Macaca fascicularis: one gene and its partners. The protein of the gene in region 2 interacts with the protein of the main gene of each other region in a pairwise test. Links are inferred from orthologs where the notes say so. Each region holds a gene or a part of one and is shown on either strand. Other genes may lie near its edges.

Region 1 (4,529 bases), on a different chromosome or scaffold from region 2:
TCCACTGGAGTGATTCTGATTTAATTGGTCTGAGGTAGACCCAGGAATAGGTATTTTTTAAAAAGCTCCTTAGAGAATTCTAATGAGCAGCCAGGATGGAGAGTCTTGAGTTAGAAGTAGAGTACAGCTGAGGATGCCACATCAATAAACCTATTCTGCTAATGAAAGATTAATAGAGAAAATAGGATGAAAGAACTTTGATCCCAGACAAGGAATACAGGCCCATTGGTTACAAGGACATAATTCAAGACCACAAGAAAATAAAAGTCTATTTTCCTCTGGGTGCCTTTTTTAAGCTGGGAGAAAATGGCATTATACTCACCTTGTTAATAACGCAGACACTCATTTAAATGCCACACATATTTAAAAATATATTTTATTTCCATTATGAACAAAAAGAGAGTAACAGCTGATGGTTGACTACAAGAAAAATAGAAGAGAAAAAGGAGAATGTCAATATTGCCCAGACAAGGAAACATAGTAAAAAATGAGTTGCATTGAGAAAGTGATCGAAAGAAAGGGATTCCGTTATTTCTGGGAGAAAAAAAAAAATGCATATATATATAGAATACACCTAGCAACGAGTTTGCTTGTATCAGACGGCTCTTGAGTCTGCACTTTTCTGGATTTAACTCTTGAGTGAGCCACAGAATTATCAGAGCAGGGCCGAAAGCCGAGTAACTATTCCTCTAAGTAGAACCAGAAACATTATTCTTCCCCAACTGCAATGAAGATTCTCTGGTGGGTGAATGGGCAACTGAAGGCCAGAGAAGTTCTATTACTTGCCCTAAATCACTCAATTAATTAGTGGTCATACTGGAATCAGAATCAATATTTTGCATTGTTAGGTTTTAATTTTGTTACATTTGCACTCTAACTCCACTGAAAACAGAAAAGAGAAATATGTAGTGCAATTTCTAAATTGCCACATCTGGAGCACTTCAAGAGCTACAGTTGTCCAGTTAAGACGGTAGTGTGTGTATGGTGCCGCCATGTTAATTTGGTGGAATAAAACCAGAGGTGAGTTAGGCCGGCGCGATGGCTCACGCTTGTAATCCCAACACTTTGGGAGGCCGAAGCGGGTGGATCACCTGAGGTTGGGAGTTCGAGAGCAGCCTGACCAACAGGGAGAAACCCCGTCTCTACCAAAAATATAAAAATAGCCGGCCGTGGTGGCGTGCGCCTGTAATCCCAGCAACTTGGCAGACTGAAGCAAGAGAATCGCTTGAACCCAGGAGGCGGAGGTTGCGGTGAGCCGAGATAGCGCCACTGCACTCCCAGCCTGGGCAACAAGAGCGAAACTCTGTATCCAAAACAAACAAACAAACACCAGAGGTGAGTTGAGCAGAAGAAACAAAGGTGGATTATTAGTCTTAAGTGGGCGTGTCTACTTCAGGAAGGAAGTGAAAGCAAAAAACTGAGAAACTAAGGGTGGGAGGGGGAATGAAAGGATCTCAGAATGTGGGTGTCGTGGGTGGCAAAAGGGATGCCAAGACACCAGAAGAGCAATACAAAACAGCTCCCGTGGATAGGCACGGAAGACCTTCCGCGCTGCTGGCCAGGCGACCCCGCAGGAAGTAGGAAGGACAAGCGCGCACTACAAGTCCCAGAAGCCCCCGTTTCCTGGAGCCCGCGCCGTGCCGCGCTACGCCCGCCGGGAGCCGGCCAGAGCGGCCAAGATGTCGCAGCCCAAGAAAAGAAAGCTTGAGTCGGGGGGCGGCGGCGAAGGAGGGGAGGGAGCTGAAGAGGAAGATGGCGCGGAGCGGGAGGCGGCCCTGGAGCGACCCCGGAGGACTAAGCGGGAGCGGGACCAGCTGTACTATGAGTGCTACTCGGACGTTTCGGTCCACGAGGAGATGATCGCAGACCGCGTCCGCACCGATGCCTACCGCCTGGGTATCCTGCGGAACTGGGCAGCACTGCGAGGCAAGACGGTACTTGACGTGGGCGCGGGCACCGGCATTCTGAGTATCTTCTGTGCCCAGGCCGGGGCCCGGCGCGTGTACGCGGTAGAGGCCAGCGCCATCTGGCAACAGGCCCGGGAGGTGGTAAGGTTCAACGGGCTGGAGGACCGGGTGCACGTCCTGCCGGGACCGGTGGAGACTGTGGAGTTGCCGGAACAGGTGGATGCCATCGTGAGCGAATGGATGGGCTACGGACTCCTGCACGAGTCCATGCTGAGCTCCGTCCTCCACGCGCGAACCAAGTGGCTGAAGGAGGGCGGTCTTCTCCTGCCGGCCTCCGCCGAGCTCTTCATAGCCCCCATCAGCGACCAGATGCTGGAATGGCGCCTGGGCTTCTGGAGCCAGGTGAAGCAGCACTATGGTGTGGACATGAGCTGCCTGGAGGGCTTCGCCACGCGCTGCCTCATGGGCCACTCGGAGATCGTTGTGCAGGGATTGTCCGGCGAGGACGTGCTGGCCCGGCCACAGCGCTTTGCGCAACTAGAGCTCTCCCGCGCCGGCTTGGAGCAGGAGCTGGAGGCCGGAGTGGGCGGGCGCTTCCGCTGCAGCTGCTATGGCTCGGCGCCCATGCATGGCTTTGCCATCTGGTTCCAGGTGACCTTCCCTGGAGGGGAGTCGGAGAAACCCCTGGTGCTGTCCACCTCGCCTTTTCACCCCGCCACGCACTGGAAACAGGCGCTTCTCTACCTAAACGAGCCAGTGCAAGTGGAGCAAGACACGGATGTTTCAGGAGAGATCACGCTGCTGCCCTCCCGGGACAACCCCCGTCGCCTGCGCGTGCTGCTGCGCTACAAAGTGGGAGACCAGGAGGAGAAGACCAAAGACTTTGCCATGGAGGACTGAGCGTTGCCTTTTCTCCCAGCTACCTCCCAAGGCAGCCTGACCTGCGTGGGAGAGACGTAGCGAGGTCGGAGGAGAAAGGGAGATCCCACGTGCAAGTAGGGGGAATATCTGTCTCCCTTTTCCCGCATAGCCTCTAGGGAGGGAGAGTGAGTTCATTCTCCATTTGAAGAGATTCTTCTGGTGATGTTTACTTAAAAAGTTATCCCCCTCAAGAACGGATACAGCGTGCTTATTATTGGGCTTTTAAGCCTCAAAGGCATGTAGTACCAAGCACTTGTATTTCCATATATTTTGTTTCGTGGGGGAGGGAGGCAGAAGAACACAGATGAAAATGTCAGTTTTTGAAGGGTCCATGCACATTCCTGACACCTCACACCTTATCTAAGTCTGAAGCTGAGGAGAAAGAGTTCTTTTAGACTTCATACATTTCCAATACGACTTTAGTATCTCTCCAGAGCCATATTTTCTCACTCTGAATTAATTCCCCATCCCTAGGTGCCTGTAGGCTATGAGACTTCCTCATTGTTTTCTAAGTAAACTTCACTACTGGTAATTAAGGGGAAGGATATGAGGAAGCAGTTTAAATAGCCCTGTTCTCATTACTCTTACCACATACATAGGGTGCTAAAGTTGATGAACACATTAATCCGTTAAGTAAAATGGTCTTTGTAATTGTACGGCGTATCTAAGAAACTCAGAAGGTGCATTTAGGAGAAAGACCTGAAAGACAGAAATAGTATGGATTCTTATGTAGAGGACTACAAAATTCTTGTCTCTACTATTACAACCAAAAAACAAATATTTCATGTATGTCCTATAAAAATATCAGTGTAATTCTTATGAAACAGGCTGGTAGAGGAGGTTTCTGAGCCTAGCCCAAGGGCTTATTCATCACCATGGGTAAATTATTTAAACTCACTTAATTAAGTAAAATATTTTCCCAGCTAGAAAAGTGTACTCATTCTCATTTAAACTCTCATTTGGAGGGATCATGTGAGTTGGCCTACTTACAAGTAGTGAAAGTTCCTTTTTTAGTTTAGTTTTTTTCTTTTTTTTCTCTTTCACGCAGCCAAATGTGAAAGTTGTGAATTTAGGAAAATCACTTATAATGAAGTATGAATCTTGTTATCACATTTATTTCACTGATGTTTCCCTCCTTATCCTTGTAGCTAATAAAACATTGACATTCTCACGTTTTATAGATGAAGTAAGAAGTCTTGTGTGCTGTCTATGAGTTATAATGCTTTTGCCTTTTTAATATTACCAGTTCTTAAGTGTTACAGCCCATTCAGAATATAACTTCAGGACAATTCAAACTGCTTAATGTATGATTTTTGAGCTTCTGTATGCTAAGAAAATAGGTGTGAAAAACTGGTGTTCTGAAATAGCCTAACATTTATTGTAATTCTGATTTTTCTGCCCTTTTATTCATTGCATATTAAAGTATTAGAGTATAAAAACTGATTTGCTAAACTTTGGTGGTATGTAACACAAGATCTTCCATCATGGAGAGACATACATGTACAAAATTATCAATTTACAAGATAATTGAGTAGCAAGCAGTACAGTTATAACCATCACCATTTTGATGCTAAGATAGTGATCATCTCCTGTAAATGCTACAATTACAGCAAGCTAGACTTGAGTTAAGCTAGCGGGAAAAAATAGCTCCTTATAAGGTGTTCTATGTTTTAAATCAAACATTTCTTTAGAATTTTAGGG
Region 2 (3,758 bases):
CTCAAATTTGCATGTGACTTACAGTATATTTCTATTAGAGGCATTGGGCTAGATTACTAAAGTCTAAGATGCTGAGATACTAAAGCTTTGACAGTGGGATATTAAGGATATTGCTCCAAAAACAGGAACATGGATGGTTCACATACTAGAGGAATGTCTACACTTCTTATAGGACCGGGCTGCAAAAGTGTTATAGGACAGGGCTGTAAAGCCACCAAGATGTTTTCGGGGAAAGTCTTTTGCCTCCTACCTCCAACCAGAGGGTTCTTACAGAACCCAGGCTAGTGGGGCCCAAAGGAAGGCCCTTCTGTCCTATCTTCAGTTATGCTATTGAGACCCCCAGGGCTGACACAGTCCTGAAAGCTCAGGTCATGCCCTGCTTTTTGCTTTTGATCTTTCAGGGTCTGTGGTGGTGAAAAAAAAGCCAGAGTAGGCCAGTAAGGAAGCTCTGCAAGGGTCCATATGCCCCTCATTAAAACCAGGAAGGAGAACGATTAGGACCTCCAAATCCTTAATTACAGGATCACAGACCATTGGAGCAGCAAGAGGCTGATTAGCATGCCTGACTCCCTCCTTCCCAAATGAGGAAACAGGCTCAGTGCGGGTATGGGTCAGAGTCTGACACCCAACCTCCTGGTTTCCTGAGGCCCCTGAGTCTACTGACTCCAGAGCCCTGTGTATGTTTTCTCCAGTACCAGTACCCACTGCAACTCCTTTGAGGCCTGGTCCCCCCTGTCTCTAGTAGCTGGCCTGGGGTCAGTAACATCTATGGCAGAGAGAGGGAACCTGTGTGGCATCCCACCCTTGGGCCCACTCTCTACCTGCTGCAGGGCACGAGGGAGGATCCCCCGGTGCTTGTAATTCTCAGTTGCCCCCGTCATGGTGTATGTCTTGCCAGCTCCCGTCTGCCCATAACACATGATGGTGCCTGCAAACATTTCAAAACACGGTGACATCCAGGAAAATAGCTCCAAGGATACTCTCCCCTCCCCCAGCATGCCTAATGCCAGCCAGGGCCCTTCGCATAAAGATGGCCAGTGGGAGCAGCCAAGAACATCAGGAATTCCACCATGGAAGAGGATGGGTGGGCAGGGGAGCAGGGACAAAAGTGGTCAAAACAAGGACATCTGCCCTGAATCTGTGGTCCCCACAATGCTTTGCTGTTCCCTCCACCAAGAGATGATCCTGCCCTAGGGCTTCTGAGAAGGACAGGGAATCTCAGGGTACAGAGGAACTGGAACTTTTCCTAAAAAGATGAGGAGGGAGATAGGAGCATTAGACTCCAAGCCTTCTCTAGCATAGCTATGAACTGCCAGGGTCTCAGGGTTGGCAGGAGGCATCAACTTCCCACAGAGGCAAAGAGGGGCTTTCAAAATCTCCAGGAAGAGATGGAGTGGAAAGCGCATTTTCTGTCAAGGGTGAGAATTCTTTGTAGACTACAAATTCCCGCAGGATCAAACAGGGCTCCTAGTTGGTTCCATGTCACTTCCAGAAACGTACCGCCATGAGCAGGCCCTGATCTGGACCACTGCCCCCACTGGGAAGACTTTCATTGCACTTCTCAACATCCTTTAGGTCTACCATCACCACCAGGCTCTGGAACGCAAACCATGCAGTCACCCTGAGCTCAAGTTCCTATCTGTTCTTCCCCTTAGCATAGGCAGCCTGAGCCAGACCCCATCCCACAGACTGCCCATGGGCATTTACATGGCAGATCTGCCCAGGCAATGCTGGGCTGTGGAAATTTTTTGCCTTTGTCACACAGACGCTCTAGTTCTTGGGACTGGTAGCAGGTTTTACACAAGGGACCCTGATTCAGCATCTGAGTTGGAGCCAGAAATGGTATCTATTAACCCAGCACAGATGAATGGGAAGGAGGCACTTCAGCTGCAACTCAGAGCCCATCTGTGGTTCCACAGCACCTCTGCTCAAGACTATTCATCTCCCTGGGCCTTAGTTCCTCCGTCTTCACCTCCTCAAGGTCACAATCCCTTCAGAGCATCGTGAAAACCAAAAGAGAACCTCCTTAAGTCTGGGGACCACATCTAAGTATCAGATTCAGTATAAATTACAGCATCTACACTCAACACACTTTTAAATATAAAACCTAAACTTGCAAAACAGGGAACATCCTACTCAGCAGCCACCAGATGGCAAAGTCTACAAACTGTGATATATTCTTTTATATATTCCTAGAATATCAACTGTACATTAATTGTGTTGGTAGAATAAATGAAAATAGCTCCTAGCAGGAAGCTGAGAGACAAATGTTTGGACTCCATCAAATTCATCATAAAGATGCATCTTCAAAACTAATATTTGAGAGATTTGAAACAGGATAATAATTGAACCCCTGTGACCTATAGACAGCTACAATCTTTTAATTTTCCTATGAAGGTAGAATCCCAGGACATTGGATCAAGCCATGCCCACAATGTCAACAAGCAAACAGTAAGTTTTGCAACGTAAGAACATGGAGACAGACAAATAAGCATACAAATGATAGTAAGTGAGGTTTTATTTTATTCACCATAAAATATTTGCATCTCTTACTCTTCAGGTTCTTATATAAGACAACAGTTAATTAATTAAGTTACCATTATAGCCATTGAGGGCCTGAGAAACCACATCCTTTGCAACTGTCTCATAAACCAAGTCCTGGGAGGCATCGTGAAGAACTCCATCCAACTTGAACGACCAGTCTATCTGTTGGTTATTGACAACTCCTCTCCGAATGTCTTTTTTTAAGTGAATATCGATGCTCTAGGAAAAAAGAGTGAGAAAGAAAAAAATGTTATTTGTTCAAAAACAGGTATTAAAAAAATCACTGATAGCTGAGGCCTAATTTGGAGGGAACAGAGGAAGTGAACTGTAGGATGAACAGGGACTCCCACGTAGGGGCTGATATTCCAGATGAATTCTTTGGGATGGGAGAAGAGAGCTCCTGCAGGGAGGTGGAAAGATCAGGAGACTGGAGCACTTCCTAGTTTTAGCACCTCTAACCCTAGTTCATAGGGTGCTGTCTGTCTTGGTTTCTCCACCTATGATATGAAGTCAAATTTATCATGTTCTTATTAAACAAGTTTTACATAGATTCCATAAGCACAGGGAGGCCTTCAATTACGCCAGAGGGAATAGTGAGCCTGGCGACAGAGGCCTGGGCTCCAGCCCCATTGCTCTGGTTGCTGGCAGTGAGGCCTCTCTCAGCTCTGCATTATGGTGAACACCTACTTCCACACACATGCTATGAGCCAAAGTGAGTGATAATGAAATGAAAGCCACAGAGAAGGCTATGGACTTCTCAGACATTGGAATTAAGAGTAAATTGAGGGTGCCATCAGCAGATTTTTAGATGCATGCCCCTTCATAGTAAGCCATTGTGGTAGCAGCTGGGTTAGGGACATACCGGGTAAGGTCAATGGTATGTCTTCTTGATGAGAACTTCTGATGTAAAGACTCTTGCTGAAATCTTACACTGACTGCCCTAACGCAGAAGCTATACCTGGCTACAGAGAGAAAAATTAAGATCAAGAAAGACAGACTTGGCCAGGCGCGGTGGCTCATGCCTGTAATCCCAGCACTTTGGGAGGCCACAGCAGGTGGATCACCTGAGGTCAGGAGTTCAAGACCAGCCTGACCAACATGGTGAAACCCCATCTCTACTAAAAATACAAAAATTAGCTGGGCATGGTGGCACGTGCCTGTAATCCCAGCTACTAGTGGGGCTAAGGCAGAAGGATCACTTGAACCTGGAAGGC
Region 3 (4,235 bases), on a different chromosome or scaffold from region 2:
ATGGAGCCCCAACATAGAGAAACAAGCTCCCAAAGCTAGCAGAATGAAGATGAGGGACAAAACTGTCATTACCTCTTCCTTGCAACAAAGTTTTTTGTTTGTTTGTTTGTTTGTTTGAGATGGAGTCTTGCTCTGTCACCCATGCTGGAGTGCGGTGGCACGATCTCGGCTCACTGCAACCTCCACCTCCTGGATTCAAGCCATTCTCCTGGTTCAGCTGCCCCAGTAGCTCGGATTACAGGCACGCACCACTATGCCCAGCTACTTTTTATATTTAGTAGAAACAGGGTTGCACCATGTTGGCCAGGCTGGTCTCGAACTCCTGACCTCGTGATCCGCCTGCCTTGGCCTACCAAAGTGCTGAGATTACAGGCGAGAGCCACCGCGCCCGGCCACAACGAAGAGTTTATCACCAACCTGATGTGCTCTCTTGAGGAATAAGTTTGTGGAACTCTTTTGCATTAATCTTTAATTAAGGCTAAAATCAAACCTTTGGCTATAACCATGTCCAGGTCTTTCTGGGGGAATTCTCAATGGGGGGCGCTAGCAGAGTAATCTGAGTACATCCAATATACCTGATACCTAATGGTTTTCAAATATGTTTCTACTTACCTGTTCAGAAGGCAAGGAAACACAACTAAATAGCAAAGCACCTCTGCAGTGACACAGAAGTGACATTAAGAGACAATTGTGAAGATCTTGCATCCTCAAAATGCATAATTATTCCTGAAATCAAAGTTACAGACTGTCCAATATGACTGATTATGAACAGGAGAGGAATCCATTAAAAGCTAAACCCAAGTTTTGATAATTTGAACCTTTTTCCTCCAGTTTTACTATAACACAGTACTTTTCAGTACCTGACCCCAGCATAAGGAACTAGGAAACTAATTTATAGAAGTAATGCTTCTATAGTAACAGTGAAAATCCACTGATTTACTATTTTAGCAAATGTATAATCTGATATCTGTACTCTAAATATTAGAGATGTAAATTTGTCAGAGGAAGCTTGGTATACAATGAATGCTTGTATTGGAAAAGACGGAACTTGCTGTTTTTACTAATTTTGTATTTCTCTGGACTTAAACTAGGAATTATGTTCTCTTAGCTTCTCTGGGTTTTCCTCTTCAAATGAAATGCTTCTGACCTGTAGAGGTTTAGAAAAGGTTATCCTCAACTAAAATAACTGCTTCAATACAAGGGAAAATTCTGTGGAAATCTTTTGCATTTGACGTTGCTAAACTTAAGTACAATAATGTCACATGTACTTATACAGTAATTGTGGGCACGCCTAAGTCCCTCCCTCTTTCCTAAACCAAATTCCCCAGATCCTAGAAATCCAGCCCTTCTGCCCTCCGGAGGCGCCTTTCCCAACGTAAAGTACAATTTTAAATTTCAGCTCCTGACTAAAATCATGATCCGCAGTCAACTGCTAGAGAATCTGGGCACCCCGGTGCCTCTGGAGCGTGCAGCGGGTGTGGGCAAGGGCAGGGGGAGTGGGCGAAGCTGCTGGTTGGTGCCTGAAATCTGTGCGTTGCCCCTTTAATTGTGTCCCCAGCCCTCGGGCGTTTCTGTCCAACGCCCACGTCAGCAAATACCTTTTGTTTCTCTCACGTTGGGGCTACTTGTTTTAGGGCGCAAAGGAACGGCCTCGAAAGGGGGTCCTTCCCCAGCCGAGAACCAAGAATCTTCCCCCGGCCCGCGCGCGCGACCGGCCGGTGCGCCGCGGCCCGCGGTAAGTGGCGGCGCGCGGCGCCGGCGGAGGGCGGGCGGGCGTCGGGGCTGCCCGGGACCCGCCGCGAGCCTGGCCGCGGGCGGAGGCGCCGCGGGCTCTCACGGCCCGGGCGGCGGCGGTGCTGAGATGCGGGCCCTGGGCGCGCCTCCCCAAGACGTCCCCGGGCCGGGAGCGCGGCGGGAGGCGCCGAGGCGAGCGGGCGCCATTTGCAGCCCGGGGCGCAGCGGCGGCGGCGGCGGCGGCGCCGGCTCCGAGGGGCTGTGGGCGGCCACGGAGGACGCGCGGGCGGCGGCGGCGGGCCGAGCCCGGGGCGGCGGCGGGCGTTGGTGGGCACCGGCTCCCGGCCGCCCCTCCCCGCGCCCGGCCGCGCCGCCCAGCCCGCCAGGCCGGCCCCTCCTGCGCGCCCGGGAGGGGCTGCGGGACAATGGCCGCGCCGTCGCCGCCCGCGCCCGCCTAGCCGCCCGGCCCGGCCCGGGGAAAGGCGGGAAGGCGCGCGGAGCCTCCTGGCGGCGGCGGCGGGAAGGCGGCGGGGACGGCGCCGGGCGTGTCTGGAGCCGTCGAGCGCCGCGGACTCCGGAGGGGCTCGGGCTGCGCGGCGCAAAAACGGGCGGCCGCCGGGGGGGCGCGCGAGGAGGGCAGGGCCGGGGCCGGAGCCGGAGCCTCTGCGGGCGCGGCCAGGGGCGCTGCCGGTGAGCCTGGCTCCCAGGGCAGTAGCCCGAATTTCTCGGTACAGCCTCCATCCTTGGTTTTATGTCAAGATGCGACATCGGGGCTTAGAAAACCGAGGGCTAACTCACCGCGCCTAACCAATGTTGAGCTCCAACTATTTGCTTCTGGACGGAACCGTACATGCTCATCTCTACCCATGCTGACCGCCTCTTTTGTGAGTTAGTCAGCGGCTTGTTCCCTTCCCCTTCAGATGCGCTTATTTATCGCTGATTGTTCCAATGGCCCTACTCCACATCATTCTGAGACGCGTTTGGAAGCGGTAGATTTACACACACACCTGGTGGGCTTCTAACCACACGTCAGTATCACTATGCTTGATAAACCTTTATATTTGCACAACTTTAAATGGATTGCTTTCACCTATATGAATTATTTCACTTAATTTCACATAAAACAACCACTTAGGCTGACGGTAATTCCACTTTGCAAATGAGGGAACACGTGTGAAGCATGGCGTTTCACCTCTAGGCCAGGGTGACATAGCCACCCAGGACCTCCTGTTCCCGTCCTGCCTTCCCTCCTAAGGTACCTCCAGAGGAGTCTTTAGAAGGGCCAATCTTACACAGCGCTTCCCTGCACTGAAAACCTTAACTGATCTTTTTCAGGAAAGCCTCCAAAATCCCCAGCAAGCTTCTGCTCCAGTCTTAATCTCCTCCATGCCTCAGGTATGGATGCATTTGTGGACTGGAGCAAGAGCCCCTCACTGATAAGCAGGGATCAGATGTCTTTATTCCTGGGAACCTCTCTGGCCACACAAGTGGCAACTGGGAAGTGAGAATCTGGCTTAGGGCCCTTGACCAAATGGGTGTCTGGGTGGATTGTGCTCAAAAATGTCAGCAGGAGGCATAATGAGTAGGGACTCCAGGAAGGAGGCCAAGCCACTAACCCTTATCTCCAAGCCCTGAAATCACCAGCTTTGCTGTTGATAATGATTTGAGGCCATGAAAAACTTTGTAAGATAGAGTAATATTGATTCATCCTGTATCATTTAAATATAATTTTTAGATACAACTATGTCTAATAGATTTAACTCAGTGACACAATGATATGTTAATCATATTTAAAGGATTTGATGTGTTTGATTCCCTTGAATGAAGCTTTTGTTACTTTTGTGCTCAAAATTGGTCAGTGGTTCCCCATCTTACGCAGTTTAAAAGCCAAAAGCTCCATAATAGTCTATGCAGCCTTACAGCATCTGGTCTCACTATGTCCTACTTCTCTCATGATTTGCTTTCCCTTTCTGACTTCATATCCCATTGCTTCCCCGCTGCTCACCTCAGGGCCTTTGCGCTTGCTTTTCCCTTTGCCTGAAATACTGTTTCCCCAGACACCCACATGACTCTTACTTCCTTTGGACTTTACCCAAATACCATCTTCTCAATGAGGCTTTCCCCAACTATAGTTTTGATTCTCTTAAGTGTTTTTATTCTAAATCTTTTCTGTCTCATGCCATTTGTGCAGCTATAAAAATACTTTGGGACTGGGTAATTACACAGAACAGAAATTTATTTCTCACACTTCTGGAGGCTGGGAAGTCCAGGCAGTTTGGTGCCTAGTGAGGGCTGCTCTTTGCTTCCAAGATGGCACCGCGTTGCTGCATCCTCTGGATGGGAGGACTGCTGTGTCTTCACGTGGCAGAAGGGATAGAAGGGCAAGAGGGGCCAAACTCACTCCGTCAGGTCCTTTTATAAGGGCGTTAATTCCATCCATGAGGGCGGAGCCTTCGTGGCCCAATCACCTCCTAAAGGTGATACTGTTGCAATAGGGATGA

The links.
Region 1: the proteins of KIF9 (region 2) and PRMT6 interact in a two-hybrid assay, tested with the Homo sapiens proteins (2 studies listed by BioGRID and IntAct). The link is inferred for Macaca fascicularis from reciprocal best matches to the Homo sapiens genes KIF9 and PRMT6.
Region 3: the proteins of KIF9 (region 2) and ZBTB8A interact in binary tests that used the Homo sapiens proteins (3 or more experiments, as listed by UniProt). The two-hybrid records come from large-scale screens. The link is inferred for Macaca fascicularis from reciprocal best matches to the Homo sapiens genes KIF9 and ZBTB8A.

Annotation. Positions count from the first base shown.
Region 1 is NC_088375.1:127,485,282-127,489,810, reverse strand, and holds the start of PRMT6 (protein arginine N-methyltransferase 6), read left to right. Parts: upstream 1-1,663; 5' UTR 1,664-1,679; coding exon 1,680-2,807; 3' UTR 2,808-3,063; intron 3,064-4,529. UniProt on the Homo sapiens protein: Arginine methyltransferase that can catalyze the formation of both omega-N monomethylarginine (MMA) and asymmetrical dimethylarginine (aDMA), with a strong preference for the formation of aDMA.
Region 2 is NC_088376.1:110,178,792-110,182,549, forward strand, and holds part of KIF9 (kinesin-like protein KIF9), read right to left. Parts: intron 2,764-3,758; coding exon 2,598-2,763; coding exon of another isoform or gene 2,581-2,597; exon of another isoform or gene 2,501-2,580; intron 929-2,500; coding exon 822-928; intron 1-821. UniProt on the Homo sapiens protein: Essential for normal male fertility and for progressive motility of spermatozoa.
Region 3 is NC_088375.1:202,482,109-202,486,343, reverse strand, and holds the start of ZBTB8A (zinc finger and BTB domain-containing protein 8A), read left to right. Parts: upstream 1-1,303; 5' UTR 1,304-1,375; intron 1,376-1,603; exon of another isoform or gene 1,604-1,634; 5' UTR 1,635-1,735; intron 1,736-2,263; exon of another isoform or gene 2,264-2,618; intron 2,619-4,235. UniProt on the Homo sapiens protein: May be involved in transcriptional regulation.